2 linked regions of the Anolis sagrei genome follow. The protein of the gene in region 1 interacts with the protein of each later gene in a pairwise test. Links are inferred from orthologs where the notes say so. Each region holds a gene or a part of one and is shown in the gene's direction. Other genes may lie near its edges. The genes, in order: UROD and LRATD2.

The links.
Region 2: the proteins of UROD (region 1) and LRATD2 interact in binary tests that used the Homo sapiens proteins (3 or more experiments, as listed by UniProt). The two-hybrid records come from large-scale screens. The link is inferred for Anolis sagrei from reciprocal best matches to the Homo sapiens genes UROD and LRATD2.

Annotation. Positions count from the first base shown.
Region 1 is NC_090024.1:179,878,697-179,894,792, forward strand, and holds the start of UROD (uroporphyrinogen decarboxylase), read left to right. Parts: upstream 1-7,722; 5' UTR 7,723-7,806; coding exon 7,807-7,829; intron 7,830-13,141; coding exon 13,142-13,254; intron 13,255-14,786; coding exon 14,787-14,866; intron 14,867-16,096. Other genes in the region: E3 ubiquitin-protein ligase HECTD3, read right to left, coding at 340-432, 1,499-1,659, 4,654-5,010. UniProt on the Homo sapiens protein: Catalyzes the sequential decarboxylation of the four acetate side chains of uroporphyrinogen to form coproporphyrinogen and participates in the fifth step in the heme biosynthetic pathway.
Region 2 is NC_090024.1:18,579,432-18,594,821, forward strand, and holds the start of LRATD2 (protein LRATD2), read left to right. Parts: upstream 1-7,931; 5' UTR 7,932-8,535; intron 8,536-15,390.

The DNA of each region.
Region 1 (16,096 bases):
TTGTATGTATATATATATATATCTTGTAAGCCATTCTGAGTCCCCTTCGGGGTGAGAAAGGCGGCATATAAATGTCATAAATAAATAATAAATAAACAAACTGTCGTTTACTTACCCTTTAATCCACAGCACTGTGTTCTACTTAACAAGAGCAAATATACCCTCCAAATAATATTTTCAACCCTTCTTTTAGCACCACTGCCAATGAAATTCAGCCCTCGGTCAACCAAATTCTGACCACACTTTTGGAAAATATGAAAAATTATGCTCAGTGCTGCAGGTAAACTCTCCCAATTGAAGAGCTATCCCAAACAACCTTATTCTGGAGTCCCAAATTACCGGAGTCTCTCTACAGCAGCTGCATCCGGCTCCATGATTTTGGGCTTTGTCCCAAGACGAAGGGAATATGTTACATCCACCACTTGCTCCCATCTGGAACAAAAGAAGGGCAACTTTAACAAAAAGCTTTAACTCCTGTTTAGATAAACAGAAATAGGGAAAAAGCTATAATGGCAAAAGCTGCAGCTGAGATAAGGACATAGCATATGAGATAAATTGTGTAACAATTTAAGATCAATGAGAATCATAATATTTATCATCCTTGTCATAATTATTTTTGCTGTCCTTCCAACAAATAAACAAACAGATTGAAAATATACTAAGAAAATCCTCTGAAAATGCGAGCCACAGATGCAGGTGAAATGTCAGGAGAAAATGCTGCTAGAACATGGCCATACAGATCCGAAACCACATAACACTCCAATGAATTGCACTATTGACAACATATGAATGGCTGCTATGTTATGTATATACATGCAAGTGCATTCACCTGAACAGCAGACCTATCGGCATTTGTAAACCTGTCCATATACATCTGTGAAAAACAGATCAATCAATTTTGGAAGTCAAGACTGAATAGAAGCAAGTGTTTAAAAGGTGATAGCATTACACCAGAGTAATGATGATACTTCCTAACTTCACTCTGAACTGGTTTCATGTTTTCACCGTACAGGTATTGCCTAATTTCCTACATTGCACAACAATGTCGCCATGCTGTTTGCATGATCCTGAACTAGCTAATCCAGACGGTGACATAACATACACCAAGGAAACAATGACGTACACCAAGGAAACAAGAAACAATGAATGAATAGAAAACAAAAAGGGCATGACCAAGGGGTGTGATTACTTGTGTACTTTAGAAAACACTTCCATTTGAAACCTCTGAAAGATCTCAATTTTCTTTGAGAACACATAGTGCAAACTTTATCACTGATTCCAAAAGGGATCAAATCAAGAAAAGGGAAATGAGTGAAGGCAGAATGCTCCTTATTGATGTACTACTAGCAAAATAATTGGAAGCCTAATATTTTGTAACAAGAGCATATTGCTTAACATTTATACATGTCAGAGATTCATGGCCCACGTACAATGTTTACTTTCACCTTCACACCCAATGGTCCTCCTAAAACCCACCCAAAGGCTTGACATCTTATACCTGATCACAGGTTTATAGTCTATCCCAAAAAGCTGCTGCTGCCGCTGAATTCTCTCTGTGGATTCAACTGGCACCAGTCTATCTCCACCATCGGCATGTTTGCACATGAGGATCCAGCCTTCGTCCAAGTCACAGCCAGTTTTATATTCCTCAAGCTGCTCCTACAAAGAGAGAATACAAGTCAGGTAGTTGGTACGAAGCCTGAGCTTTGTAAAACAAGCATCAGCAGAAACACAACGAAATATTTCTGGGCATAACTACGGTGTAAGATATGGACTGGCACCATATTTGTGACTACAAATGTTTATTTCTTTCATGGAAACTCGCTGTAGACCAGCACTGGTTTATGAACAGCTCCTTTGAGTAGAATTGATTTACACAGATCGAATGAAAAGTAATGCCTCCACCTTCGTAACTCCTCAACAGATGGCAGTACTGGTATGCAGCAGGTACTGGCTTGTTCAGTAGACTCTCCTCTACAGTTCCATTTTGGCAGGAAGCCTTAGCATTGAACAGTTGTGTTGTTAAAGTGCGAAGTATGGAACCCTGCGTGACTTAAGCAACATGCAATCATTGACTTCTTGACAGCAGAAGGTGTCACCCCAAAGGAGATTCATCAGAGACTGAAAGCTGTTTATGGTGATTGTGTTGATGTGAGTACTGTGCGTCGTTGGGTGAGTAAGTTTAAAGATGTTGAGGTGGGAACATCTGACTTGCATGACAAAGAGTTGGACATCTTGTGACAGCAACCACCGAGTTTCACAAGCAAAAGGTTGACAGATTAATTCAGGACAATTGTTGTATCACTCAGAGACATATTTCAAACATTATCAGCATTTCACAAGACCCTGTGGGTCACATTATTGCTTTGCTTGGTTATTGGAAGATATGGGTACCCAGGATGAGAGAACTGTGAGACACAACTTCAATTGCCGATTCACAAGCATTTCCTCAACAAAGTAGGAGTGCACTTTGCACATGCTCAGACTACATTCATTCTACAGCAGATGTGGGCATAATTCGGCCCTTCAGGTAATTTGGACTTCAACTCCCAGAAATCCCTTTAATGTAAGCCGCACCGAGTCCCTTGGGGAGATGGTAGCGGGGTACAAATAAAATTATTATTATTATTATTATTATTATTATTATTATTATTACCCTTTCCTGGCTATTAGGAATTGTGGGAGTTGAAGTCCAAAAATCCTGGCGGGCTGAAGTTTGACATAGAGGCATAGAGGCACTCAAGGTCATAAAAAAAAAAAAAAAACCAAAGTGCAAAGTGCATTTCAACTTCCTTCAGGAAACACTTGTGAATCTGCAGTCAAGGTACATTTTCAACTAGTATCAAGCAACATTTGTTCTATAGCAGGCATGGGCAAACTCCCAGCCAGGAGGCTGTTAGAAATTGTAGGAGCTGAAGTCCAAAACACCTGGAGGGCCAAAGTTTGCCTATAGCTAACATAGAGGCATTCAAGGTCGTACAAAACACCAAAGTGTCTCCAAGCATGTGCAAAGTCCATTTGAACTTCCTCCAGCAAATGTTTGTGATTCAGCAGTCAGGATACATTTTCAATTAATAACAAGCAGAATTCGCTGTATAGCATAGATGCACCCAATGATGTAACAAAAATCAGGGTGTCTCTGAGCATGTGCAAAGTGTATCCCTACTTTGTTCAGGAAATACTTTTGAAACAACAATTGAAGTGGTGTCAGGCTGCATTCATTTTACAGCAGGGATGCACTCAAGGTGGGACCCAATTGCCTCTGAGCTTGTGCAAAGTGCATTCCTATTTCGTTCAGGGAATGCTTTTGATCAGCAATCGAAGGGGTGTCAGGATGCAATCATTCTACAACAGGGATGCACTTAAGGTGGGACACTAATTTATTTATTTATTTATTTATTTGGAGTGCTTCTACCCCCCCCCCCCAACCCCCTAGGGGGGACTCAGGGCAGCTTACAAAAGGCACAATTTGATGCCCAACAATTCACAAAATACAATATACAATTTACAATTTAACATCAACAGTTATTACTAGTTAAAACAATCAAATCAATACAATAACAGCAATAAAATCATTTTGTGGTAAATGTTCACCGATTTATAAATCCATAATCCATCCAGCATTGTCATTGTCCTTTCCTACTCTGGTCGTCATTGTCTTTTCTCCATCTGCCAGCTTACCTGAAGGCCTGGTCCCAAATCCAGGTTTTTAACTTCCTCCTGAAGGAGAGGAGGGATGTTGATGACCTAATTTCCCCGGGGAGTGCATTCCACAGGTGAGGGGCCACCACTGAGAAGGCCCTGCCCCTCGTCCCCACCAGTCTCACTTGTGATAAAGGTGAGGCCGAGAGCAGGGCCTCCCCAGAAGATCTTAAACTCCGAGGTGGGACGTAGAAGGAGATACATTTGGACAGGTACGCTGGCCTGGAGCCGTAAAGGGTTTTGTAGGTCAAAACCAGCACTTTGAATTGTGTTTGGAACTGGATCGGCAGCCAGTGGAGCTGACACAACGGGGGGTGGTGTGCTCCCTGTATGACGCTCCGGTGAGTAATCTAGCCGCCGCCCGTTGAACTAATTGAAGTTTCCGAACAAATGCCTCTGAGCATGTGCAAAGTGCATCCTGACTTCAATAAGGAAATGCTTGTGAATTAGCAATCGAAGTAGTGTCAGGCCACATTCATTCTACAGCACAGATGCACTCAAGGTGGGACACAAATGCCTCTGAGCACATGCAAAGTGCATCCCTATTTTGTTCAGGGAATGCTTGTGAAACAGCAATCAAAGTGATATAACGCTACATTCATTCGACAACAGGGATGCCTCTGAGCATGTGTAAAGTGCATTCCTATTTCGTTCACGAAATGCTTCCCTATTTCGTTCAGGAAATGCTTGTGAATCAGCAATCAAAGTAGTGTCCGGCTGCATTCATTCTATAGCACAGATGTCCTTAAGGTGGGACACAATTGCCTCTGAGCATGAGCAAAGTGCATTCCTACTTCGTTCAGGGAATGCTTGTGACTCAGCAGTCACGGTCCGTTTCAAGGGGCATCCGTTCTCCAACATAGATGCACCCAAGACCCTGAGCATGTGCAGAGTGCATTCTAACTTCCTTTCCCGGGGGACACTCCCTCCCTCCCTCCCTCCCCGACTCACCCTGGTGAGCTTCACCCACAGGCCCTGCCCGTTGCAGTGCTCCTCGCCGCTGGCCCGGAGGCAGGAGCCCTTGCGGAGCTCTATAGCGCCCCGTCCGAGGGCGCCTCCCTTCCCGGCCTTGCCTCCGCCTCCTCCGCCGCCGGGGCTCTCCCAGACGGAGAGCAGGCTCCGGCTCAGCGCCCCGGACAGGCCCGGCCCGCTGGCGTCCTTGCAGAGCTTGTACTGCACCTCCCGGGGCACGAAGCACAGCGCGGGCGGGAGCGGCTCCGCCCGGCGAAAGCACTCCACCGCCTCGCTCAGGAAGCGCAGCCGGCCCAGCAGCTGGTGCGGAGACTCGCCCCCCGGGGGAAGCAGCATCGCAGCAGCAGCAGCAGCAGCAGCCTCCAAGGGGACCCCTCCGGGCACTTCCGCCAGGGCAGCAGGCGGGTGGCTGGCTGGGCTTCCTGGTCGAAGCGCCCGCCCGCCCGCCGGCTTGGCAGCCTACCGTAAAGCACCCGGTATCCGCGCGGGAGGCAAGACACAGAAGTGCCCAAAGCTGATCACAACACTGGCCTTCTCCTCCCTAGTTATCTTGCACACTCCCTGCTTGCACATACCAGGGGCGTTCCTAAAGGATTCCCCCGACCCACTTCTATTTATCACAGGATGCTGAAACTGTGCATGTGTCATGATATAAGTCTCTATAGGTTATGTGCCAATTTTCAACTCTGAACTGATAACGGTCTTGATTTGACAGGTGCTGAAGTGGTGTGAGGTTTGATAATGGACCCAGTGGAATACAGAGCAGTCATCCAGTTCCTTTAGAATCATAGAATCCTAGAGTTGGAAGAGACCTCTTGGGCCATCCAGTCCAACCCCCTGCCAAGAAGCAGGAAAATCACATTCAAAGCACCCCCAACAGATGGCCATCCAGCCTCTGCTTAAAAGCCTTCAAAGAAGGAGCCTCAACCACCCTCTGGGGTGGAGAGTTCCACTGCTGAACGGCTCTCACAGTCAGGAAGTTCTTCCTCATGTTCAGGTGGAATCTCCTCTCTTGTAGTTTGAAGCCATTGTTCCGCGTCCTAGTCTCCAGGGAAGCAGAAAACAAGCTTGCTCCCTCCTCCCTGTGGCTTCCTCTCACATATTTATACATGGCTATCATATCTCCTCTCAGCCTTCTCTTCTTTAGGCTAAACATGCCCAGGTCTTTAAGCCACTCCTCATAGATCTTGTTCTCCAGACCCTTGATCATTTTAGTCGCTCTCCTCTGGACACATTCTAGCTTGTCAATATCTCTCTTCAATTGTAGTGCTCAGAATCGGACACAATATTCCAGGTGTGGTCTGAGGCAGAATAGAGGGGTAGCTTGACTTCCCTGGATCTAGACACTATCCTCCTATTGATGCAGGCCAAAATCCCATTGGCTTCCTGCCGCCGCATCACATTGTTGGCTCATGTTTAACTTGTTGTCTACGAGGACTCCAAGATCTTTTTCACATGTACTGCCCTCGAGCCAGGCGTCCCCCATTCCATATCTTTGCATTTCATTTTTTTTTCTGCCTAAGTGGAGTATCTTCCATTTGTCCCTGTTGAACTTCATTTTGTTAGTATTGACCCATCTCTCTAATCTGTTAAGATTGTTTTGAATCCTGCTCCTGTCCTCTAGAGTATTGGCTATCTCTCCCAATTTGGTGTCATCTACAAACTTGATGATCATGCCTTCTAACCCTTTACTTGAAAGGCCGCACACATAGAATCATAGAATCATTGAGTTGGAAGAGACCTCATGGGCCATCCAATCCAACCCCCTGCCAAGAAGCAGGAAAATTGCATTCAAAGGAGACGTTTGATGAGATGAAAGAGGTTAATGGTGATGATTCCCCATCATATGATGGAGTCAAGAACTGGAATCATCAATTCAAATGTGGTCAGACTTTGGTGCAAACAGCTCCAATTCCAGGGTGAGCGCACTCTGGTATTGATGAACACACCATGCAGCAAGTGGAGGTCACCATTTTGGAAAATTACTACATAACCATTTGCCACCTGGCCCAAAATGTCAAGATTAGCGTAGGGTCCATGGAAAAGATCATCCAAGACCATCTTCACATGCATAAGGTATCCGTTCACTGGATCCCTGGCTGCTCACACTTTTCCAGATGCAGAAACCAGTCGAATGCTCTCAGGCTCTATTGACAATGTGCCATGGAAACCAGGAGGACTTTTTCAACAGACTGATCACACAGAATGAAAGCTGGGTCCATCACTATGATGTGGAGACTAAAGTCCAGTTAATGAAATGGACAGGACTGAAGACTGATAGGTTGCAGGTTTGTATACAGGGAGAGCGTGGATGAGCTTCCTCTGTCAGCTCCGGCTCCCCTTGCGGGGACATGAGAGAAGCCTCCCACAAGGATGGCAAAACATCAAAAAACATCGTCCTTGCAGATGGTCAATTCTCTCACACCATATTTTTTTGTGTGTCAGGAGCGACTTGCAGTTTCTCAAGTTGCTCCTGACATGAAAAAAAAAATCCTACTGGCTGTTAGGGATTGTGGGAGTTGAAGTCCAAAACACCCGGAGGGCCCAAGTGTGCCCAGGCCTGCATAGAATCAATGCAATTGAACTGACATGACCCAATGCTATTGCTGTAATTTGGCGAGACACTTAAGACTTTATACAACTGCAACTCCCAGGATTTCATAGCTTTGATCCATGATACAGTACCATTAATTCAACAGGATATATAGCCTTTGTGGCAGGCACCCTCAAACCGTGGCTCTCCAGCTGTTTGGGCCTCCAACTTCCAGAATCCCTAGCCTGCTTGTCCAGTGCTCAGGAATTCTGGGAGTTGGAGGCCCAAACAGATAGAAGGCCGCAGTTTGAGGGTGCCTGCTTTATGGCTTTCCTTCAAATCCCAGCGGGATAGCCCTTGGGACCTTTCCTTTGGCCAGACCCCTTCTCTCTCTCTCTTTCTCGAAAGGTTCTCTACAACGTGCACTACGGTAATGCTCTTCTGTTTTCTCTACCCAAAGTGGGGGAAGGGGGTGGGCCCTCCAAGGACCAATCAGAAGGGACCAGGAAGGAACCCGGAAAAGGGGCGTGGCTAGTGGAGTTTCCCTCCCTCCCTGTTGTGGGCGGAGCCACTGCCCTGGCAGGAGAGGGACAGACAGAATGGAGACGAACGGGCCGATTGCGTGAGTAGCAGGAAGTGGGAGAGAGCATGAGAGTGAGAGAGAGTGCAATGGGTGCATCTGCACGGTAGAAATGATGCACCTTGACTCCACTTAAGCTGTCATGAGAGCTGTAATTTGACCAGGTCTTGAGCAAATCCTGGTTTTTGCCATTTTATATAAGGGATATCATTTCGAACTACTAGGTTGGCAGAAGCTGGGGCTAATGGATATAATTAGATCAATTATATCATTTGGTATAATTGATCCACAGAGTTTGGATCATGGGACCAACTTCCAACAAGACACCAGTACTTTCAAATCAGTCATTTAAATAAAAAATATTTAAATAAGGGGAAACTATCAGAGTAGATGCAACATGATGTTAGCTAGTTTACAGTAAAGGTAAAGGTTTTCCCTCGACACTAAGTTTATTCGTGTCCAACTCTGGGGGATGGTGCTCATCATTTTCTAAAGCGAAGAGCCGACGTTGTCCATAGACACCTCCAAGGTCATGTGGCCAGCATGGCAGCATAGAGGGCCGTTACCTTCCTGCAGCAGCAGTACCTATTGATCTACACATTTTTGCATGTTTTCGAACTGCTACGTAGCAGAAGCGGTGGCTAACAGTGGGAGCTCACCCTGCTCCCCGGATTTGAACTGCCAACCTTTCAGTCAGCAAGTTCAGCAGCTCAGCAGTTTAACCCGCTATGCCACCAGGGGCCCAAGCAATTGCATAATCGGCAAGGCTGCATTAGCGCCATTGCCTTCCTACTGGAGCGGTACCTATTGATCTACTCATATTTGCATGTTTTTGAACTGCTAGGTTGGCAGAAGCTGGGGCTAAAACCGGGAGCTCACCCTGCTCCCCAGATTCAAACCACCAGCCTTTCGATTAGCAAGTTCAGCAGGTCAGCAGTTTAACCTGCTGTGCCACCAGGGAGCCCAAGCAATTGCATAGTCGGCAAGGCTGTATTAGCACCATTACCTTCCCACCGGAGCAGTATCTATTGATCTACTCACATTTGCATGTTTTCAAACTGCTAGGCTGGCAGAAGCTGGGGCTAACAGCGGGAGCTCACTGCTCCCCAGATTCAAACTCCTGACCTTTTGATCAGCAAGTTCAGCAGCTTGGTGATTTAACCCGCTGCCACACTGGAGGCTCTATATTTACAGTACCCGTTATTATTTAGGGAAATATTTAACAATTGTGTACTTTCTGTTTGTCAACATAGGGAAGTAGTCATATCAATCTCTTGCTTTGTCCACTTGAGCATTGTTACTGCATGTTATTAAAGGCAGAAGAGACATTGTATATAGGAGTGGAAGCATGCCGATAGGTGGCACAGGAGTTAGATAGACTTGCTGTCTATTTGAAGGGAATTGTTTAAAGACTTTGAAGGGTTCTGTCTAAATCGAGGACTGTTTGGACTGAAATCTCATGCCCACTTTCCTGGGAGTAAACGCAGCCCAGTGAAACTGTGACCATACAAAGGATACACAGGATAGTGGCCATACAGAGAATTAAACTGTTTTTAGCACTTTAAGCTCCTTGGTGTGTTTATCTTACCAATACATTTCTTCCACAATGATAGTCTTAGTAAGCAGGTCTGAGAGAGATAACAGATACTTGGTCTGGTGCTATGCAGTTTCTCGGGGGCTCCACCAAGGATGCATTTGCATTGTCTAATAAATGCAGTTTGACACCACTTCAACCGCCATGGCTCAGTGCTGAAGAACTATAGGACTTGTAGTTTTGCAAATTGCAACTCCCATAGTTCTGCAGCAAATTGGAAGACTACAAGTCCCATGGTACTCAAAGTAGAATTGAACTGCATTAATTTTGTCATTTAGATGCACCCGGTGACATAATGTAGTCCTCTAGTTGGAAGAGTAAATTTCCTCCTCCCTGAATTCTAACAATTTAAACGCAGGTTTTCATTGCCGGAATCAATGGGTTGCTGTGAGTCTTCCAAGCTTCTGGCCATGTTCCAGAAGCATTCTCTCCTGATGTTTCGCCCACATCTATGGCAGGCATCCTCTGAGGTTGTGGGGGTCTGTTGAAAACTAAGACCTTGGATATTCCACAGATATATAAACCTCACATACTTATTTTCCAACAGATCCCTCACCTTCTGAGGATGCCTGCCATAGATGTGGGCAGTGTTTCTGGAACATGGCCATACAGCCTGGAAGACTCACAGCAACCCATTTTAAATGCATTAGAGAAAGATAGGGCCCTCTGGTAGTGCAGCAGGTGAAACTGCTGAACTTGCTGACTGAAAGGTTGGCAGTTTGAATCTGGGGAGCAGGGTGAGCTCCTGTTGTTAGCCCCAGCTTCTGCCAACCTAGTAGTTCAAAAATATGCAAATGTGAGTAGATCAATAGGTACTGCTTCTATGGGAAGGTAACAGCTCTCCCTGCAGTCATGCTGGCCACATGACTTTGGAGGTGTCTACTGACAACGCCGGCTCTTCAGCTTAGAAATGGAGATGAGCACCACCCCCAGGTTCGGACATGACTAGAGAAACATAGTGCAAAGTGTAGTGCTACAGTACCATTTCATTGATGCACTATAGCAGGCCTAGGCAAACTTGGGCCTTCCAGATGTTTTGAACTTCACCTCCCACTATTCCTAACAATCTCAGGCCCTTTCCTTTCCCCCCTCAGCCACTTAAGTGGCTGAGGGGGGAAAGGAAAGGTCCTGAAGTTGTTAGGAATGGTGGGAGTTGAAGTTCAAAATACCCGGAGAGCCCAGGTTTGCCTACACCTGCACTATAGCATGGCGATTGTAAAGAAAGTGACAACAAGAAGAGAAAAGAATATCCTGGTATGTTCTGAAATTAAAAAGAAACCCATCCAAGAATGAAAAAAACCCAAGAACTACAGGAACCAATATTTATTAATAATTTACTTTAGATTGCAAATACTGCAACCTTCTGGCTCAAGCAACCCTTCCTCAAGGAACCCAACGAGCACTTTGTTGTCCTACGATCATGCAGGGAAACTGTTCTGTTGTTTACTGATAATTTTATATCAGTGACCATTCATGGGCTGGGCCTCTGTGGGTTTTCCTCGCCTGTTGTTTTCAAAGAAAAAAATGGAAAAGCTAATCCATTTTTACCTTTGGCAAAGCACAATGTATCATTCAGACAAGAATGGAACCCATATGTAAATATAGTAATTGTTGACAGGTTCTAATTATACTGAATAATATTATGGATTTATTTATTTTATCGTATCAGGAGCGCACCAAGGGTACAGTTGTAATGTGTTAAAAATACAAAGTTTTAAAACTTGGCATTAAATTAAATGTCTTTTGACCAGTAGCTGGCTGCTTAGAGTGCCTTTGGTGTCACTATAAGAAGGTCCTCCACTGTGCATGCGGTAGGGCTCAGACTGTATTGTAATATGTGGTTTGCTGTTCTGCACACTCACATGTCGTGGGCTCCACTTTGTGGTCCCATTTCTTAAAGTTGGCTCTGCATCTTGTGGTGCCAGAGCGCAGTCCCTTCAGCAACTTCCAAGTTAATCAGTCTTCTGTGTGCCCAGGAGGGAGTCTCTCATTTGGTATCAGCCATGGATACAGGTTCCATGTTTTAGCCTGCCACTTTTGAACTCTCGCGTGCTGAGGTGTTCCTGCGAGTATCTCTATGGATCTTAGAAAACTATTTCTTGATTTAAGGTGTTGGCATGCTGGTTGATATCCAAACAGGGGATGGGCCGGAGATGTCAATGCCTTGGTCCTTCCAGGGTAATTCCCAGGTATTTGGGTGTGCCGCAATGCTCCAGTGGGATTCCTTCCCAGGTAATCCTCAGAGCTCGAGATGCCTGTCTGTTCTTAAGATGGAAAGCACCTTCAGTTTTGAACTTCTTTGCATGTGACATTGGGTGCATCTACACTGTGTAATTAATGCAGGTTTACACCACTTTAACTGTCATGGTTCAGTGCTAAGGAATCCTGGGAGTTGTAGTTTGCTGAAGCACCAGCACTCCTTGGCAGAAAGGTGAAAGAAATTATAAAGCAACTTCCAAGATTCTATTTATTTATTTTTATTTATTTACCCTATTTATATCTCACCTTTCTCTACCCTGAAGGGGACTCAAGGCGGCTTACATGTGGCATTTATTCAATGTTTTGCAGCACATACAGATATTAAAAACTTAAAATCAGTTGAGTTAAAATTAATACAAATGAAGCATTTTAAAAAATTACATTGCGTATTAATATCACACCATTCAAAGATTGTTGTCCAAGGCCGATTCCATAATCATTGCACATAATCCAATTTATATTGCAGTACACTAGTCTCCGAAAGCCTGGTCCAAGATCAAGGTTTTTATTTTCCTTCTGAAGGGAGGAGGGAAGGAGCTGATCTGATGTTGCTAGAGAGGGAGTTCCACAGCTGAGGGGCCACCACTGAGAAGGCCCTGTCTCTCATTCCCAACAATTGCACTTGTGAAGAAGGCAGGACTGAGAGCAGGGCCTCCCCAGATGATCTTAATCTCCATAATATTGATCCACGTTAAAATGGTATCAAACTGCATTAATTCTACAGTGTGGATGCAACCCTAGTGCCCAGTGAATGGGTATCACATGCAGAATTCATGGTCTAGGAGTAAAAACAGAGATTAATCTGAAGATCATCATTTAAAAAGCAGGGATTAATTTTGAAAATCATAAAAAGTATTTGTGAATCAGCCAAAGGCCTTTCCTTCCCAACTTGAACTGCCATGGCTTAATGTTGCGGACTTTTGAGAGTTATAGTTTGATGACACTCCAGCACTCTTAGGCAGAGAAGGCTAAAAGCCAAGTAAAACTTCCATAGCATTGGGCCATGGCAATTCAAGTGAGGTCTAGCTGCATTGATTCTTCACATAGATGCACCCACAAAGAGAGATACAGGCAGTTCCCAAGTCATGAACAAGATCAATTTTGTAGACATGTTCTTAAGTTGAACTTTTATGTAAGTTGGAACAGATACATTTTAAGTGTACCTCCAACCCCTCCCTCTATACATACACACACACACAGAGAGAGAGCTTTGGATAGCATGGGGAAGGGTTAACACCCCTCCATTGTTTGTTTTTCTATCTGTGACAATTGGATTTTGAAAAATATAGCTTCTTGTGGAAACAAAGATGGGAGATACAGCTTCAGTGGAGACCCCTTTTCCCCAGGATAACTCTTTCAAAAGTGAATTTTCCTTCCTATGGGTGGATTTTTCTCACTTCTTGTTGTTTCACCCCTGTTCTTAACTATGAGTCTTAACTATGAGTCTTAACATGGTTCTTCCTCATCCGCTTTGTGCTAACTCTCTGCTTTTCTTAATTAGACCCACAGGATTCCCCGAACTTAAGAATGATTCTTTCCTCCGCGCAGCACAAGGGGAAGAGACAGAATACACCCCAGTTTGGTGCATGAGACAGGCAGGAAGGTACCTCCCAGGTAAGTGAAATTATTGGGTGGATGAAGCTTTAGGGAAGTGCAAAAAAACCTGTGGTCGTCTAGGTGGGGAACACAGCTCCCATCATCCCTCGCCATTCTGGCTCAATAGTCTCTAAAAAAATATTCCTTCTGATCTTAGGCAGTGTTCTTAGTGCCAGTTCTTAGGGTTGTTCATGCCATTATTTGTCCTAGTGAGGTGCATCAACCATAAAACCTGTGATGATATTTTTCAGAAAATTGTTTGTGAGGAAGGAGAAATATGTCCTCATGTCAGAACCTAAAAGTACATTGTTCACTCTTATTATTTGGCTTCAAAATTAGTATAGAAGAAATTTAAAATCTATATGGAAAGTATTAGAATATAAGAAGAGTCAACAAGTTGACTTTGATTTATAGTGACCCCTCTATCACCTTCAGCCATGCCCGGACCTTGCAGGGCTGTGACTTCTTGATTGAGTCCATCCATCTGGAATACAGTTTTCCTTGGTTCCTACAGCTTTCTATCTTACCAAGCATTATTATCTTTTCTCGTGAATCATGTTTTCTCATGATATGTCCTAAGCATGACAAACTCAAATTAGTTACATTGACTTCTTGGCTTCAGGCTTTATTTGATCTAAGGCCAATTTATTTGTCCTTTGGCACTCCACAGTATCTATAAAACTCTTCTCATGTACCACATTTCAAATGAGTTGATTCTCTTCCTGTCAGCTGTCTTCACTGTCCAGCTTTCACAACCATACATGGAAATAGCATGACATAGTAAAGGTAAAGGTTTCCCCCTGATATTAAGTCCAATCGTGTCTGACTTTAGGGATGGTGCTCATCTCTATTTCTAAGCTAAAGAGCTGGTGTTGTCCATAGACACCTCCAAGATCTTATAGCCAGCATGACTGCATGGAGCACTGTTACCTTCCTGCCAGAGTGGTACCTATTAATCTACTCACATTTGCATGTTTTCAAACTGCTAGGTTGGCAGAAGCTGGGGCTAACTGCGGGAGCTCACCCCACTCCCCAGATTCAAACCTGCAACCTTTTGATCAGCAAGTTCAGTAGCTCAGCGGTTTAATCCACTGTGCCACCAGGGGCTCCATAGCATGGCATGAACCATCCTAATTTTTTCATTTATTGATATATGTTTACACTTCAGAAACTTGACTAGTGGAACCCCCGGTGATTCAATGGGTTAAATCCTTGTGCCGGCAGGACGGTTCGAATCTGGGAAGCAAGGTGAGCTCTGATATGTTAGCTCCAGCTTCTCATGCGAGAAGCCTCCCACAGGATGGTAAAACACCTGGGTGTCCTCTGGGCAACGTCTTTTCAGATGGCCAATTTTCTCACACCAGAAGCAATGTGCAGTTTCTCAAGTCACTCCTGACATGAAAAAAATACTTTTGAGTGTTTCTCTTATGAGATGTCTGTTACTGACCTAGCTAGCCTTTTCCTGCCTTTGAGGCCCTTCTCCTCTAGGATTTAATGCCCTTTGAGGGACATTCTTTCCACTTTTTCTCAACTTTCTGGCCTTTTTGCAGAGTTCCGTGAAACCCGAGCTGCTCAGGATTTCTTTGCAACTTGTCGGTCACCAGAGACATGTTGTGAACTCACTTTGCAGGTGAGCAGTATGGTATATTTGTCCACATCTGCCTGTTAGACATAAGAATGATTTCTGCTGTTCAGCCAATGACTAGAGATAGGTATGTCCTGTGAATAAATATTGTGGATGGGAGAAGAACGTTTTTATTCTGTCACCCTAGGGAAATTTGTGCTATAATTACCTTTGGGTAGAGATAGAAGTTCATGATGCATACTTTAGGTAAATGTGCTTAATAATAATAATAATAATAATAATAATAATAATAATAATAATCTTTATAACCCACCACCATGTCCCCAAAAGGGACTCGGGGCAGCTAACATGAGGCCAGGCCCAAAATAATACAACATAATAGACACACAATAACAAAATACATCATAAAAAATATGAAATAATGAATAAAATCAACAATATAAAGCAGCATAATAAAATCAGACAGTTCTTATTGTGTATCTTTTCCCCAAAAATTCAGTGTTAAGAAACACACATTGCAAGTGTTTTGATCAGCTTCCAACACCAGCCTGTACATTTGAACTGCAAATTAAATTACAGTGCCATAGAAAATTATTACATGGGAGAAAAAGGATATATATCTTGTAGAACATGACTAACCCACGACTAGGCATAGGGAGAAAAATTGTTGGGGGAATGAAAGGAACACGACAACATTTATTCCTATATTTAAAAAGAAAGTGAGGGATGTCACTGCATTTCCATACTTATTCCATGCTTCTGAAATTATTCAGACAATTGAGAGCTAGTCATAATGATGAGAACTGGGCCAATTGGTTCTTGATTGAGTGTGTATGTAATAAACACAGAAAGGCATAAAACCCAGGCTACACTGTAGAATTAATGCAGTTTGACACCACTTTAACAGCCATGGTTCAATACTATGGAATCCTGGTAACTGTACTTCGGTGAGGCACCAGCACTCTTTGGTCGAGAAACCCAAGACCATGTAAAATTACAACTGGTGTCAAACTGCATTAATTCTAAGTGTAGATACGCACCCAGATGCACTGATCTGGGTTTTAGCACAGTGGGTTAAAGCACCAGCTGCAGAAAATCTTGCCAATCGAAAGGTCAACAGTTCAAGTCCGGGTTGGTTTGAGCTCCTGCTGTCAACTCAGCTTCTGCTCATCTAGCAGTTTGAAAAAAACAGCAATGTGAGTACATAAATAGGTACTGCTTTGGTGGGGAGATAATAAAAGGCACCCATGCGGACATGCCAGCAATTTGATCGGG
Region 2 (15,390 bases), about 160 Mb from region 1:
CCATCTTCTTTTTAAAAAAATATGTGAGGAATCGGGTAGCAAGTGGTGTGAAAGTCCTTTTTCTATCAAGACCCTGGGAAACTGCTACTAAGCCAAGTAGGCACTATCAGGCTTACTGGATATATAACCTAATTAAACAGCTTCTTTCTTTTTCCTAAATAAGTTTTTAAAATCCCATTCTGCCCACTGTTTTTTAAAGGTACTTTGTGCTTAAAGATTCCCCCAAGTCCTTTGCTTGCTAATTTTGGCCCCTTCCACACAGCTGAATAAAATCCCATATGATCTGCTTTGAATTGGAATATATGGCAGTGTGGACTCAGATAACACAGTTCAAAGCAGATATTGTGGGATTTCCTGCCTTAGTATGGGTTACATGGCTCTGTGGAAAGGGCCCTAAGAAGGGGAAAGAACACTTCAATGATGGTTAGCACTGTATGAGACACTGAACTACAACACCTCCTGAGCTTTGCGAGTGCAGCATTTTCCCGAATGAAGCAGAGTGTGTTTGAGGACTGAGACATCTGTAGGGTGCTTGTTTATAAAGCTATTGTCCTCCCAACTCTGCTATATGCCTGTGAAACGTGGACTATCTACAGACATCACATGCAACTCTTGGAACGATTCCATTAGTATTGCCTCCAGAAAATCCTGCAAATCTCTTGGGAAGACAGGTGGACAAATGTCAGGATGCTGGAAGCGCTGGCCCTTGAGCACTCTAGTTGGAGATCAGCTGTGACCAGCAGTGCTGTAGAATTTGAAGAAGCACGAATGGAGGGCGAAAGAGAGAAATGTGCCAAGAGGAAGGTGCATCAAGCCAACCCCGACCAGGATCGCCTTCCACCTAGAAGCCGATGCCCTCACTGCAAGAGAACATGTGGGTCAAGAATAGGGCTCTACTGTCACCTACGTACCCACTGCCAGGACACCGCACTTGGAGGACAATCTTACTTGGTCAAGGAGGGATCACCTACGTATGTAAGTGTAGGAGACAGAATCAGCCATCTCATTTGATTCTTGCAATGAGCTCAAATGCTCCAGATAGCAACGATGCACAAAAGCATAAGGAGAGGGGGCTGATGGGGAAGAAGGAATCTTATAAAATAAATGGGAAGGGAAGCTTTGTAACAAAACAGAAAATAGGAGCAGGCACATCTGGGTTCATTTTAATGAGTAATTATTTCTGAGATACTCCAGGTATATGGAGGAGGGGGTTATCTCCTCCATCCCATGATATGGGACAGCATCAAGTCCCTTTCGATACGTTTCTCATAGCAATGAAGTGTGCGAATCCTGGGCAATCATTGTCTACGTAGGAAGCCTTTGTGGATCTTTGAGCTGGTTTTTGATCTCTCTTCCTGCCTGCTGACATCGCCAGAATCGTGTGTCTTCGGCCTCTTCCAGCGATGCTGTGTAAGGAATCAGGATTGCCAAATTATGCTCTCTGGGAGGGTGTCTAGGCCATTAACACTAAATTCCCCAAACTTCTGAGAAATGATGCATACTCTCCCCTTCCCACTGTAGTATAATGGCATACATTTCACAGGTGAAAATGGAGACATGGGCAGCCAAGAAACATCCAAGTGTTGTCAAAATGGCAAAAAGTTAATAATGAGTCAGGGCACATCATCCGAATGAGCCTGCAGCAGTTTGCTTTTGCCACTGGGAAGAGCAAAAGCAATTTCTACTCGCTCCCCTTATGGAGTTAAGCACAGAGTACTTCTGATTTTTTAACTCACTTTGCAGCTATTGAAGCTGGACCAAAAGGGAAAGAGATAGAGAGAGAAAAACTGGGACATTTTTAAAGCAGCCGAAAAAGTGGGGCAGCAATGGATTACTCAGAACTGTCCATGTCAAGTTGGGATTGTTTCCCGCTATATGAACATGCAACAGAACTTCATTCAATGACACTTTCCCTTCATGGCTTGACTTATCCTCTCCAACATGTCAAAAATGGAAACTGGGACATAGGAGCACAGCTTCATTGGTGTTGGAATTCAAAAGAAACCTCTTGTTTAACTGGCAAACTCTCCCCATAGTTTTTACAAGGTGTGTTTATTTCTTTTGCTTCCCAGGAAAAAGTAAATTAGATTTGCACAGCCCAAGATGTCCTGTTCCAAGACTAGGGGAGGGTGCAGCCAATTGCTTTTATCTGTGCTTGTTGGGAAGGACGAAATTCCACTTCTCTCCTCACATTGAGTACAAGCTTTTGTTATTTGAGCTATTTTGCAATAGTTGATGTAAGTTGATGATGAAATGGAAATGTAGGAGGCAGAGAGGAAAACTGGGGCATTCTGAAAGCAACTGTGAAATTAGGCCAGTGATATAATAATTTTGGATGTCCCTGCCAAAGTGCAACAGTTGGAAGATATATTGACTAATGGGATGGGTGGAGGCTGCATGCATTCACTTTGGCCCGCAGTATGTCTCAAATCTCCCTAGATGTCCTTGATATCCTTTCCAAATGTCCTGGATAAAAGCTTCACCCCAACATTGTAACATGAATTCCTGGAAACTCAACAAGCCCAATTTGCCTGTAACTCAATGTTGTAGGCCTTTGATGTACTTCTGGGAAGGCAGGGTAATTACAGACAGGATTCCTTTTACAGGCAGTCCCCAAGTTACAAACAAAATAGGTCCTGTAGGTTTATTCTAAAGTTTAATTTGTTTGTAAGTTGGAACAGGTAATTTTTCAGTGTAACTACAGATATAGATATACATGATTTGGATAGCATGGGAAGCATTGCTTTCTGTGCCCCTCTTCAGAAGATTTCACCCCACCTACTGTCACTGTGAGAATTGGATTTTGAACAACAACAACAAAAACAACAACAAAAACAACAACAATTTTATTTTTATACACCGCCTCCGTCTCCCCGAAGGGACTCACGGCAGCTTACATGGGGCCAAGCCCAAATAACAGAGTTAAAACATAGCACATTAGACTGCATAACAACAATCTTAAACAGCATAAAACAACATTAAACAAAATATAAAACAAGCAACTAAACCAACATCAACAACATAATTCAATCCTCGATATGGGTGGACAGCCTGGTGTACAACAGTTCGGAGGATTGGGCATGTAGCAGCATTAAGTATAAGAGCAATACAAAAGAGGTCAACTCTAATTTTGGATAAAATGGTAGTAAAGTGCATAGTAAAATTTTTGGGTCCTAACAAGGGACAATTGTCAAGGGAAATGTTTAATCAAATGCACAGCAGAACATCCATATCTTTAGATCTTTTTGAAAAGTGGATGGGGGGGGGGGGGAAGTCTCATCTCCCTGGGAAGGGAATTCCAGAGCTGGGGGGGGGGGGGGGCAACAACTAAAAAGGCCTTCTCCCACCAACCGGGCCTGTGATGGAGGCGGAAGTGAGAGAAGGGCCTTCCCAGAAGGCCTTGGGGGCTGTGTGGGTTCATAAGGGAAGGTGTGGTCTTGAAGATAGGCAGGTCCCAAACCATCCAGAGCTTTAATAGGTGATGACCTGCACCTTGAATTGGGACTGGAAACTTATTGGCAGCCAGTATAGCTTGTTGAACAGGGGGGGGGGGGGGTTTACCACTCCCTGTAACTTGCTCCAGTTAACAACCTGGCTGCCGACCTTTGCACCAAAGGCAGCTTCTGGGCCATCTTTGGGGCAGCCCCATGTAGTGTGCGTTACAGTAATCTAATCTTGAGGTAACTAAGGATTGGACCACCATGGTCAAGTCAGACTTCTCGAGGTACGGTCCCAGCCACCGCTGATACCTGAGCATCAAGTGTCAACGATGGATTCTAAAGGACTACCAGACTATGGACCTGTGTCTTCAGGGGGAGTGTGACCCCGTCGAGCACAGGCTGCCACCCCATGCCCCAATCCTTCGAGCAACTGACCTGGAGGACCTTTGTCTTGTCAGGATCTAGCTTCAGCTTATTGGCCTTCATCCAGCCCATCACAGCGACCAGACACTGGTCCAGGATCCGAGGGTCTTCCTTGGAGTTAGGTGGAAAGTAGTAGTAGAGTTGATTTTTTCCTACCAACATTCTTCAGTTTCTGTCTTTCACAACTAATGGGAAATATGAGAGCATGGGCCAACCTAACTTGGGTTTTCAATGACATACCTCTACACTTCAGGTTCTTGTTTAGTTCCTTCACAGCTGCCCTTCCAAATCCTAGTCTTCTTCTTGACTGAAACTTGTTCTCGGATAAATGCACACACATTTGCAATCTGAATATTTGAAACATATACTACAGGACCACATTATAAGGCAGGGGAGTCAGATTTAAAGGGCTTGTACCATTAATGATTGTGTAGAAGAAGGAATTTCAGAAGGTTTTGCTTGTCACACAACCAAGCAACAAATAACAAGTAATCCCCTCTTCTACACAACCATTAAAGGTGCAGAAGTCCTTTCCAGTTTTCACTCTAGCAAGCCTATTTGAAGATGAGATTTATTTCTCTTTTCCCCGCTCTGAAGCAGGAGAAGATGAGTGTTGGGGTTTATTACTAAGCCTTTATTGCATACAGGAATCAAACATAAATACACCAGGCCAGCATTCAAGATGTGTAATTCTGTAATGGAAGAAGCTGTACTTGAAGAGGTTTGTTTCATTTTCTTTCCTTTATAGAAGAGGGTGATGATAGCTTTTCAGCCAGCCAAGCTACCTGTGGTTTTGTAGAGGTTTCAAGTTGCAAAAGGCAGAGAGATAAACTGCCTTAGACTCAGGCTGAATAAAACACATATTGGAAGAAAGCTGCAGAGGTTCAAGCTGAACTCTGACCATCATATGCAAAGCCAAAGAATAAATATTACCACCACCACCACCCAAAACAGCCCACAACGTTTAGTTAACAACATGAAAGCAGGAAGGGAGAGGTGGAGAGAGAGAAATAACTTATTGGTTACCCTCATTGTTGTTCAGGGAAGGACTCACATGGTCCATCAAATGTTGTTGAACTACAACAAGTATTATCCAGCAGAGACACTTGGTAAGAATGCTGGGAGCTTTAGTTTAAGACTATCTGAAGGGCCACATGGTTCCAACCCTGATTTAGGTCACATGACTGGTAAGGACAAAACCGGATGGTTGTCAGATTGTGGATGGTTACTTTGGAGAAGTGTTTTTCAAACTGTGCTCCTCTAGGTGCTTTGGATTCAGCTCCCAGAAATCCCAGTCAGCTTATCAGCTGTTAGGAATTGTGGGAGATGAAGTCCAAACATCTGGAGGAGCACAGTTTGGAGAATCTGTTGGTGCTTCAGAAAGTTCCAAAAGGTTGGAATCAAGTTGCTTTTATTATTGTGTTTTCTTCAAAACGTTTTGGACTAGAGCAACCCTCTTGAAGGATTTTCTTGGCAACATGTGTTCATTTTCTCAGCCTCTGAGGTGCTTTCCACACAGCTGAATAAAATCCCACATTTTCTGCTTTGAACTGGAATATATGGCAGTGTGGACTCAGGGTCCTTCCACACAGCCCTATATCCCAGAATATAAAGGCAGAAAATCCCACAATATCTGCTTTGAACTGGACTGAGTCCACACGCCGATAATGTGGGGATTTTCTGCCTTGATATTCTGGGATATAGGGCTGTGTGGAAGGCCCCTCCGATAACCCACTTCAAAGCACATACTATGGGATTTTCTGCCTTGATATTCCAGGTGATATGGCTGTTTGGAAGGGCCCTGAGGCTGAGAAGGTCTAGGCGACCTTTAAAGCTAATCCCACCTCTAACTCCCCTCCCTTCTACAAGCATTTTTAAAACATGGAAACAACTCCATGGAATACTGAGCTATGGGCAAAGTGGATCTGTTGAGTTTTCTCAGATGTAATGTTGGAGTGAAGCATTTTTCCAATATAAGGCTGTCAAGGGGCGCATATACACTGTCAAAACAATGTTCTTTGATGTGGCTTTAACTGTCATGCCTCAATGCTATGGATTCATGGGAATTCCAGATTTACAGGGTATATAGTAGGCCTGGGTAACAACGGAAAAATTTGTTTCTAAAATCGATTCGTTTTTTGGGGGTTTTTGCGTTTCGTTATTTAAAATAATTACAAAATTTTCCTTTTAAAAAGTTCGATATTTACAAAATTTCGTAAATGTGAAAAAAATTACAAAACATTAACGAATCGATTTCCGAAACAATAACAAATAGATTCATTAATGGCGGACGCGACCGCAAAATACGCTAAAAACCTCCAAAAACTTCTGAAGCTTCCCTCTCCCTCTGTTGTTGACTGTTGGTGTGATATTATAATTTTTTTTCACTAATTAAACAAAAAACTTGCCCCAGACATGTGGAAATAATAACAAAACGACCTCAGAATAATAACAAAACGAATACAATAACGAAATACGAAGCATTTACAAAACGTGTTTAAAAATTCATTTTTTAAAAAAATTGCTCCAGAATGGTTCGTTATCATTTTGTAATTTAAAAAATTAACGAATTATTAACGAATTACGAATTAACGAAACGAAACCACCCAGCCCTAGTATATAGCCATTTGTGCCTCACCAAAGTACAACTCCCAGGTTTCCGTAGTATATATTTAGCCATGGCAGTAAAAGTAGTATCAAATGCCTTTAATTCAACACCAGACATCTTCCGTAAGTACTTATCAGCAACGCATGTATTTCAAAATATTGGAGGGAAAACTCAAAAATCAAAACACTTCTGGTGCCAAATGTTGTATTTTCTGATGGTCTTTGGTGACCCCTGCAGGGGTCCCGACCCCCAGGTTGAGAACCACTGTTCCAGAATATCTGTGTTCTGTTCTGTGTTGCGCAAACAGTGCTCCCGAAGGAACGAAGCTCTTTATTGCTGCCCACCACCTTTGCCTGAAGCCAGGCATGTCCCTGCCCCCCCCCCCCCCGAAATTCTCATGGTGGTCTGCGAAAAGGCCTTACTTGTACATTATTTAAACTGTTATGTTTATTCCTATCATGATCTGATCGCCATGCTCAATATATCCCATATGCATGGGGGTATTGGGGTGACTTTGTATTTCTAGGTGCAAAGATTACTGCAGATGCAGACTGTGGCCAGGAAATCAGAAGACGCTTCCTTCTTGGGAGGAGAGCAATGTCCAATCTTGATAAAATAGTGAAGAGTAGAGACATCACACTGGCAACGAAGATCCGCCTAGTCAAAGCCATGGTATTCCCTGTAGTCACCTACGGATGTGAGAGCTGGACCTTAGGGAAGGCTGAGCGAAGGAAGATCGATGCTTTTGAGCTGTGGTGTTGGAGGAAAGTCCTGAGAGTGCCTTGGACTGCGAGAAGATCCAACCAGTCCATCCTCCAGGAAATAAAGCCCGGCTGCTCATTGGAGGGAAGGAGACTAGAGACGAAGTTGAAGTACTTTGGCCACATCATGAGGAGACAGGAAAGCCTAGAGAAGACAATTATGCTGGGGAAAGTGGAAGGTAAAAGGAAGAGGGGCCGACCAAGGGCAAGATGGATGGATGGCATCCTTGAAGTGACTGGACTGACCTTGAAGGAGCTGGGGGTGGTGACGGCCGACAGGGAGCTCTGGCGTGGACTGGTCCATGAGGTCACGAAGAGTCGGAGACGACTGAACGAATGAACAACAACAACATTGGGATTGGGGTAACATACAAAGGTTTGCTAGGGTGGACCCTCTTTTACTCAGACTCACCCCCCCCCCCCCGAATCAAAATCCTGGCTACGGGCCTGCCTGAAGCCCATCCCGGTAGGAGAAAGTTGCCTCCTTCCTTTCTTCCTTCCTTCCCTCCCCGTCCGTCAGCGTGGAAGGCACCTCTCTTCCGCGTGGCACAGGGAGGAAAGGAAAGGCAAACTCGCAAGCAGGGGCGGGGGGCGAAGGTTTGCACGCCTCCTTTCCCTCCCCCTGAAGCCCAGGCTCCCTCCAGTGGTGCACCCTCAATTACAAGCAGAACAAGAGGAGGAGGAGGAAGAGGAAGAGGAGGGGAAGGAGGTGGGAAAAAAAGCAGCGCGTGGCAAAGCCGGAGCAAGTGCGCCTTGAAAACACGCGCGTCCCGGAGAGAGAAGGAGGTGTAAGGAAGGGGGGAGAGAGAGAGAGCGCGTGCACGTGCCTCCCGCGGGCCAAAGGAGTGCGAGGAGGAGGAGGAGGAAGTGGGAAGGAGGAAGAGTGTGCCTGCCTGCTTGCCTGAGCGCCGCCTGGCTTGCAACGCCTGGCTGGTGGAGCTGCGCTTTGGAGTGGCGCCTGGGCTTCTTTTCTTTCTCTCTCCCTCGGATACACCCGGGCTGAGGAGCGAAGGGAGGCGTGAAGGGCCGGGGAAAGGGTGGCGGGCACCTGCCGGCCCACCTGGAGCGCCTCCTCAGGTGGAAGAGCCGCCACGCGAGACGCCGCTTGGGAAGTTTCCAGCGCCCACGACGCCTCCGTTGCCCGGGACGCTGCGAGCGCAAAGGGAGGAGGAGGAGGAGGAGGAGGAGAAAGAGGAGGAAGGGATGGCGGGGCGGATCAGGTGACAGCGGCGTCGGCAGCAGGGCAGGAGCAGCACCTGGGCTCAGGCTGGTGGTGTGTTCCGAGGCGGAGGCGGCCGGCCAGGTGAGTCGGGCTCCCAGGCAAGGCAAGGAGGGAGGGAGGGCAGGCGCTTCCTGGCTGGCAAGGGCTCTTCCCTCGCCCCCTTCCTCTCTTCTGGGCTCTTTTCTCAATCCTCAAGGACCTTGGAAGAGGCAGGAAGGGAATCATCCCCCTCCCTCCCAAGGCAGCTGTCAATACAAAGTTTCCCCGAAGAGAAACTCCGCCAATCAATCCCTCGGAGATGCTGGTTCGAAGGCTAATAGGGATTTCCTCAGTTCCGGGCCTTCAGTTGCCATCTCCAAGCCATTGTCTTCCAGTCCTCGTCCTCACTGGGTTCTCACTCCAGTGGCAAACCTGACTCCAAAGTTTTCCCTTGCTATTTTGCCACTGCTGTTGGGCAAGCGGTTCTTCTAGGAAGTCAGGTTTGCTGTGAGTTTTCTGGGCTGTATGGCCATGTTCCAGAAGCATTCTCTCCTGGCGTTTCGCCTGCATCTATGGAAGGCATCCTCAGAGGTTGTGAGGTCTTCTAGGAAGACCGTGTTGATTATTTTGGGGGACAGTTTTCAAACCCAGAACTATCTGTTCTGAAGGGTCTACAAGCCTTCAAACTACAAGAAAAGAGATTCCATCTGAACATGAGGAAGAACTTCCTGACTGTGAGAGCCGTTCAGCAGCGGAACTCTCTGCCCTGGAGTGTGGTGGAGGCTCCTTCTTTGGAAGCTTTTAAACAGAGGCTAGATGGCCATCTGGCAGGGGTGATTTGAATGCAATATTCCTGCTTCTTGGCAGGGGGGTTGGACTGGATGGCCCATGAGGTCTCTTCCAATTCTTTGATTCTATGATTCTATGGTTCTTTGTATCCCTTGGGGTTTGGATCCAAGACCCCAAAATCCATGGGTGTTGAAGTCCCACGATACAGAATAGCATCGCAAAACAGCACCCCTTTTCTAAAACGGCAAAATCAAGGTTTGCTTCTGGACTTTTTGTGTGTGTGAATGTTTCCAAGCCATGGATGGTGAAATCTCTGGATATAGAAGGCCAACATTTTGAGGGGATAATCTCTATATAAAGATGAGTGATGGTATCTATTGATCTACTCCTTTTTGCATGTTTTTGAACTGCTAGGTTGGCAGAAGCTAGGGCTAACAATTGGAGCTCACCCCATTTCCTGGATCCAAACCACCGATCTTTTGGTCAGCAAGTTCACCAGCTCAGTGGTTTAACCCACTGTGCCACCACAGTGTATATATATGTGGAATGTCCAGCGTGGGAAAAAGAACTCTTGTCTGTTTGAGGCAGGTGTGAATGTTACAACTGGCCACTTTGATTAGCATTGAATAGCCTTTCGGCTTCAAGGTCTGGCTGCCCCCAGGTCTGGATTTAAAGTCCATACTCCCCCAGTCAGTAAGCAGCCAGACCTTGAAACTGCTAGGCCATTCAATGGTAACAAATGTGACCAATTGCAACATTCACATCTCCCTCAAACCAACAAGAGTTCTTTCTCCCACTCTGGACATTCCACAGATATATAAACCCCAACTGCCTAGTTTCCAACAGACCTCACAATCTCTGAGGATGTCTGTCATAGATGCAGGAAAAATGTCAGGAGAGAATGCTTATGGAACATGGCCATACAGCCCAGAAAACTCACAGCAATCCAATGATTCTGGCCATGAAACCCTTTGACAACAAAGAATCTCCGGTTTGGCTTTTTAAGGTTCAAAACACTTCATTCCTTGTGCTTTTAATGCAACAGATGAGCCTCTCTGGAAGAAATTCGAGAGCTGTGTCTTTAAAGTAATGTTTCTCCCTTCCTTCTACGCTCTCAATGTAGGTGTCAGTGTAGGCAAAACTACCAAAGCCATGGAGTTAAGATCTTACAGGTTTCTTATCTGTCTCTTTTCTGTGATTTCCAGAGTCGTTTGCAAACAGAAGCTCCAGCCATTCCCCTCACTGCTCCCTTCCTCCGTTTGTGCCTTTTCCTCCGTTTTATGGAGAGCATAACAAGGCTTTCCAAGGTGCTGCTTGAAACACTTTCCCTGTGATTCTCAGCGTCTCCATGCTGAATTTATTTGCACTTTATCTCTGCATAGGTTTGTATAATCTGCACTCTACCCTGAACGAGTGTTTGTAGGATCCTGAAGCCACACCTCCAACTTCTTCCTCTTGTTTGAGCAACAATTATAGGAGAGGAGTCACAAGGGACGGCCCTGGAGGGTTGTTGGAAGGGTCGGTGAGACAATGACGCTTCTGAGGAGCAGAATGTTAATTCCAGTGTTTGTTGTTGTGATAGTTCCTCATAGTCTCTTGACACCCTGCCTAGGGGAAAAGGGACCGGAACAAACACATGATATCATCTAGTAGGACTCTTGTGGGGCTTTTATGGGTGTCTAGCCCCAACTGTGGAAAATTCCATGTGATCAGAATCATTCAGAAAGGAATGTTTACTTCCTTTACTTCAGTGTTTCTCATCCTGGGGGTGAGGACCCCTGGGGGGATTGCAAAGGGGTGTCAAAGGGGTCACTAAAGAGCATCAGAAAACACAGTATTTTCTGTTGGTCATGGGGGTTCTGTGTGGAAAGTTTGGCCCAATTCTATCGTTGGTGGGGTTCAGAAGGCTCTTTGATTGGAGGTGAACTATAAATCCCAGCAATTACAATTCCCAAATGTCAAAGTCTATTTTCCCCAAACTCCACCAGTATTCACATTTGGGCATACTGGGTATTGGTTCCATGTTTTGTCCAGATCTATCATTGTTTGAGTCCACAGTGCTCTCTGGATGTCAGTGAAATACAACTCCAAAATTCAAGATCAAATCCCATCAAACACTTCCAGTATTTTCTGTTGGCCATGGAAGTTCTGTGTGCCAAGTTTGGTTCAATTCCATAATTGGTGGAGTTCTGAATGCTCTTTGATTGGAGATGAACTATAAATCCCAGCAACTACAACTCCCAAATGACAAAGTCTATTTTCCCCAAACTCCACCAGTGTTCACATTTGGGCATGCTGGGTATTTGTGCCAAGTTTGGTCCTGATCCATCATTGTTTGAGTCCACACTGCTCTCTAGATGTCGGTGAACTACAACTCCAAAATTCAAGATCAAATCCCACCAAACTCTTCCAATATTTTCTGTTGGTCATGGAAGTTCTGTATGCCATACTTGGTTCAGTTCCATTGTTGGTGGAGTTCAGAATGCTCTTTGATTATAGGTTGACTATAAATCCCAGCAACTACAACTCCCAAATGACAAAATCTATCCCCTCCAACCCCATCAGTATTCAAATTTGGGAGTATCGGATATCTGTACCAAATTTGGTCCAGTGAATGAGAATACATCCTAAATATCAGATATTTACATTACGATTCACAACAGTAGGAAAGTTACAGTTATGAAGTAGCAACAAAAAAGCTTAGTTGGCTGACGGGGAAAAGGAAGGGGCCTGAAGCTGTAAGGAATTGTGGGAGTTGAAGTCCAAAATACCTGGAGGACTGAAGTTTGCCCATGTCTGCTTGAGAGATTGTTCAGTCACTGGGAAAAAGAAGCAGTGACAGGACCTTATCAGCAAAGCAAGTTTTGCTGCAAATTTCCTATGATAGAATAAACAATAATAGATGGAATAGCTCCCAATTTAGTCAGTCTTCTCACTTGGGATGATGGAGCCATCCTGGTTAGCATGTTTCCTCCAGAATTCAGAGCATGCTTTGCCAAAGGAAGATGCTTGATGTTCAAGGGGACTTGGCCCTATGGAGATTTGTATTCGTGCTTTATATCATGTTTACCTGGTGTTGACTGTGTTGTCTTTCTTCATCAGGAGACTTGGGAGTCTCCATAGATATCCAGTCTATGCGCCACTGGATATCTAAGCACTTGAAGAGCATAGTGCAGTTGTTGAGCACAAAGCCTGAAGCTATAAATAACTGGCTCTGTTTAGAGTAGGGGTGGGAGTTAATGTGGGCTCCAGGGCAGTTTTTGGTGGGCCTTTTCTGGCCAGAAAAAATGTTGTCCACTTTTCACCGAGCAGTCTTCCCAAGTGGAAATTCACCACTGAGATAGACTGTAGTATACTTCCTACAACCTGTTGAACATTCAGAAAACCTTTTTTTTCCTTCAAAACCAGGAATGGAGTTCTCCCTATTTCTGTATTTACGTTTGGTTTTGCATTTTAGGGGACTGTGTCACTTTGGAGGATTTCGGGAAGAAAAATGTTTCCAAGTTGCCCACTCTGGCTTAAAACTATGACATTCTCTTTTGGGAACCAGTTGCAGAGTAAACTTACCTTTTGAATAATGTATCAAACAGTGTTTCCATAAGTTGGGTTGCTGTGAGGTTTCCGGGCTGTATAGCTGTTTCAGAAGCATTTTCTCCTGACGTTTCACTCACATCTATGGCAGGCATCCTCAGAGGTTGTGAGGTCTGTTGGAAACTAGGCAAGTGAGGTTCCTATACCACCTCACTTATATAAACCTCACTTGCATTAAAAACACAAGGAATGAAGTGTTTTGAACCTTAAAAACCAAAACCAGAGATTCCGTGTTGTCGAAGACTTTTGTGGCCAGAATCACTGGGTTGTTGTGAGTTTTCTGGGATGTATGGCCATGTTCCAGAAGCATTCTCTTCTGACATCTATGGCAGGCATCCTCAGAGGTTGTGAGGTCTGTTGGAAACTAGGCAAGTGGGGGTTTATATATCTGTGGAATGTCCAGGGTGGGAGAAAGAACTCTTGTCGGATTGAGGGAGGTGTGAATTTTGCAGTTGTCCACCTTCATTAGTGTTGAATAGCCTTTCAGCTTCAAGGATTGGCTGCTTACTGCCTGGGGGAATCCGAACTTTGAATCCAGATCTGGGGACAGCCAACCTTGATGCTGAAAGTCTATTCAATGCTAATCAAGCTGGCCAAATGCACCATTCACACCTGCCTCCAACAGACAAGAGTTTTTTCTCCCATCCAGGACATTACACAGATATATGAAGTTTAAACCCCGCTTGCCTAGTTTCCAACAGACCTCACAACCTCTAAGGATGCCTGCCATAGATGTGGGTGAAATGTCAGGAGAGAATGCTTCTGGAAGATGGCCATAGACCCCAGAAAACTCACAGCAACCCAGTGATTCCAGCCATGAAAGTCTTTGACAATACATCTCCATAAGTTGACAGACAACCTGAAGACAGTGGGTTGTTGTAGGTTTTTTTGGGCTATATGAAATGTTCTAGAGCAGTGGTTCTCAACCTGGGATCCCCAGATGTTTTTGGCCTTCAACTCCCAGAAATCCTAACAGCTGGTAAACTGACTGGGATTTCTGGGAGTTGTAGGCCAAAAACATCTGGGGACCCTAGGTTGAGAACCACTGTTCTAGAGGCATTCTCTCCTGACGTTTTGCCTGCATCTGTGGCAAGCATCCTCGGAGGTAGTGAGGACCTGAAGACAGACATACACAGAGAACCTTTGTTACACAGTCCAGTTCCCTTTTCCTGAATTTTACACCTGCTGCCTTTTCATAGGCACATAGGGTTTTCCTGTTATATTGTGAAACATGTTATGTGTGGTATTGCTGTCTGGTCAGAATCCAAGAGAGAGAGAACCTTCCCCTTTCCACACATTACTCTTTATTCCAGTCTTTCCCTTTCCTTTATTCTTGCTGTCTTCCTCTTTCTCTAAGTTCTGTCTGTTTGTTTTATGTTTTGGGTGGGAGCTGACACATCCCTCAACTCACTCTATCAAGCAGTGTGTTCGCTGATACATAGAGGCGGCTAGTTTTAGGTCAGTGAAGCAATATTCTTTCTTGTCAGCAAGTTTCTGTGCTGTTTTTTGCTCAATTTCAGCACCTGGCAGGTGGCAAAGTAGTACCTTCCAAACTCTGACTTGTCACCTAGTTCTTCCTGCTTCAGCTTCCTGTTGCATCGCTGAACTGCCTCGTCTCCAACAGGTGGCAAAGGCCTCCAGCATCTCACCCTTTTTCTTTTCCTCAGCATCTTCCCCATGTGGTCTTTTCTGTGCAGCAATTTCTTCTTTCATCCTGTTGAGTGTTTTGCTCAGCTGCCTGTTGAACATTCCTCTCTCCTTATCGTCTGGTTTGGATCATATCACCCCCTGCTTCTGTCTGCAGCAACTCCTTTACTCCTTGGCATGGAATCCCCATTTACACACAGTTAATTAAATTGGGGGAATAACTAGAATTGACCTTTTTGCTTTCCATTATGAAGGTGTTTTTTTTTTAAGCAGCTATTATTGGCTTGCTGGTGGGAACTGGTTGCGATAGGGATTGCATCAAGTGAAAGAGGGGAACTTGTTCCTCTTCCAGAGATGTCTTAAGAAAAATCCTCTCCCATGATTCCAGCATTTCTCAACTTGGGGGTCAGCATCCCTGGGGGGTTTCATGAGGGGGTGTCAGAGGGGTTGCCAAAGACCATCAGAAAACACAATATTTTTTTGGTCATGGGAGTTCTATGTGGGAAGTTTGGTCCAATTCTATTGTTTGTGAGGTTCAGAATGTTCTTTGATTGTGGGTGAACTATACATCCCAACAACTACAACTCCCAAATGTCATGGTCTGTTTTCCCCAAACCACCAGTGTTCACATTTGGGCATATTGAGTATTTGTGCCAAGTTTGGTCCAGATCTATCATTGTTTGAGTCCACAGTACTCTCTGGATGCAGGTGATCTACAACTCCAAAACCCAAAGTCAATGCCCACCAAACCCTTCCAGTATTTTCTGTTGGTCATGGGAGTTCTGGGTGGCAAGTTTGGTTCAATTCCATCGATGGAGGAGTTCAGAATGCTCTTTGATTGTAAGTTAATGATAAATCTTAGCAACTACAACTCCCAAATGACAAAATCAATGCCCACCCCCCCCCAAAAAAAACCCCCACCAGTAATCA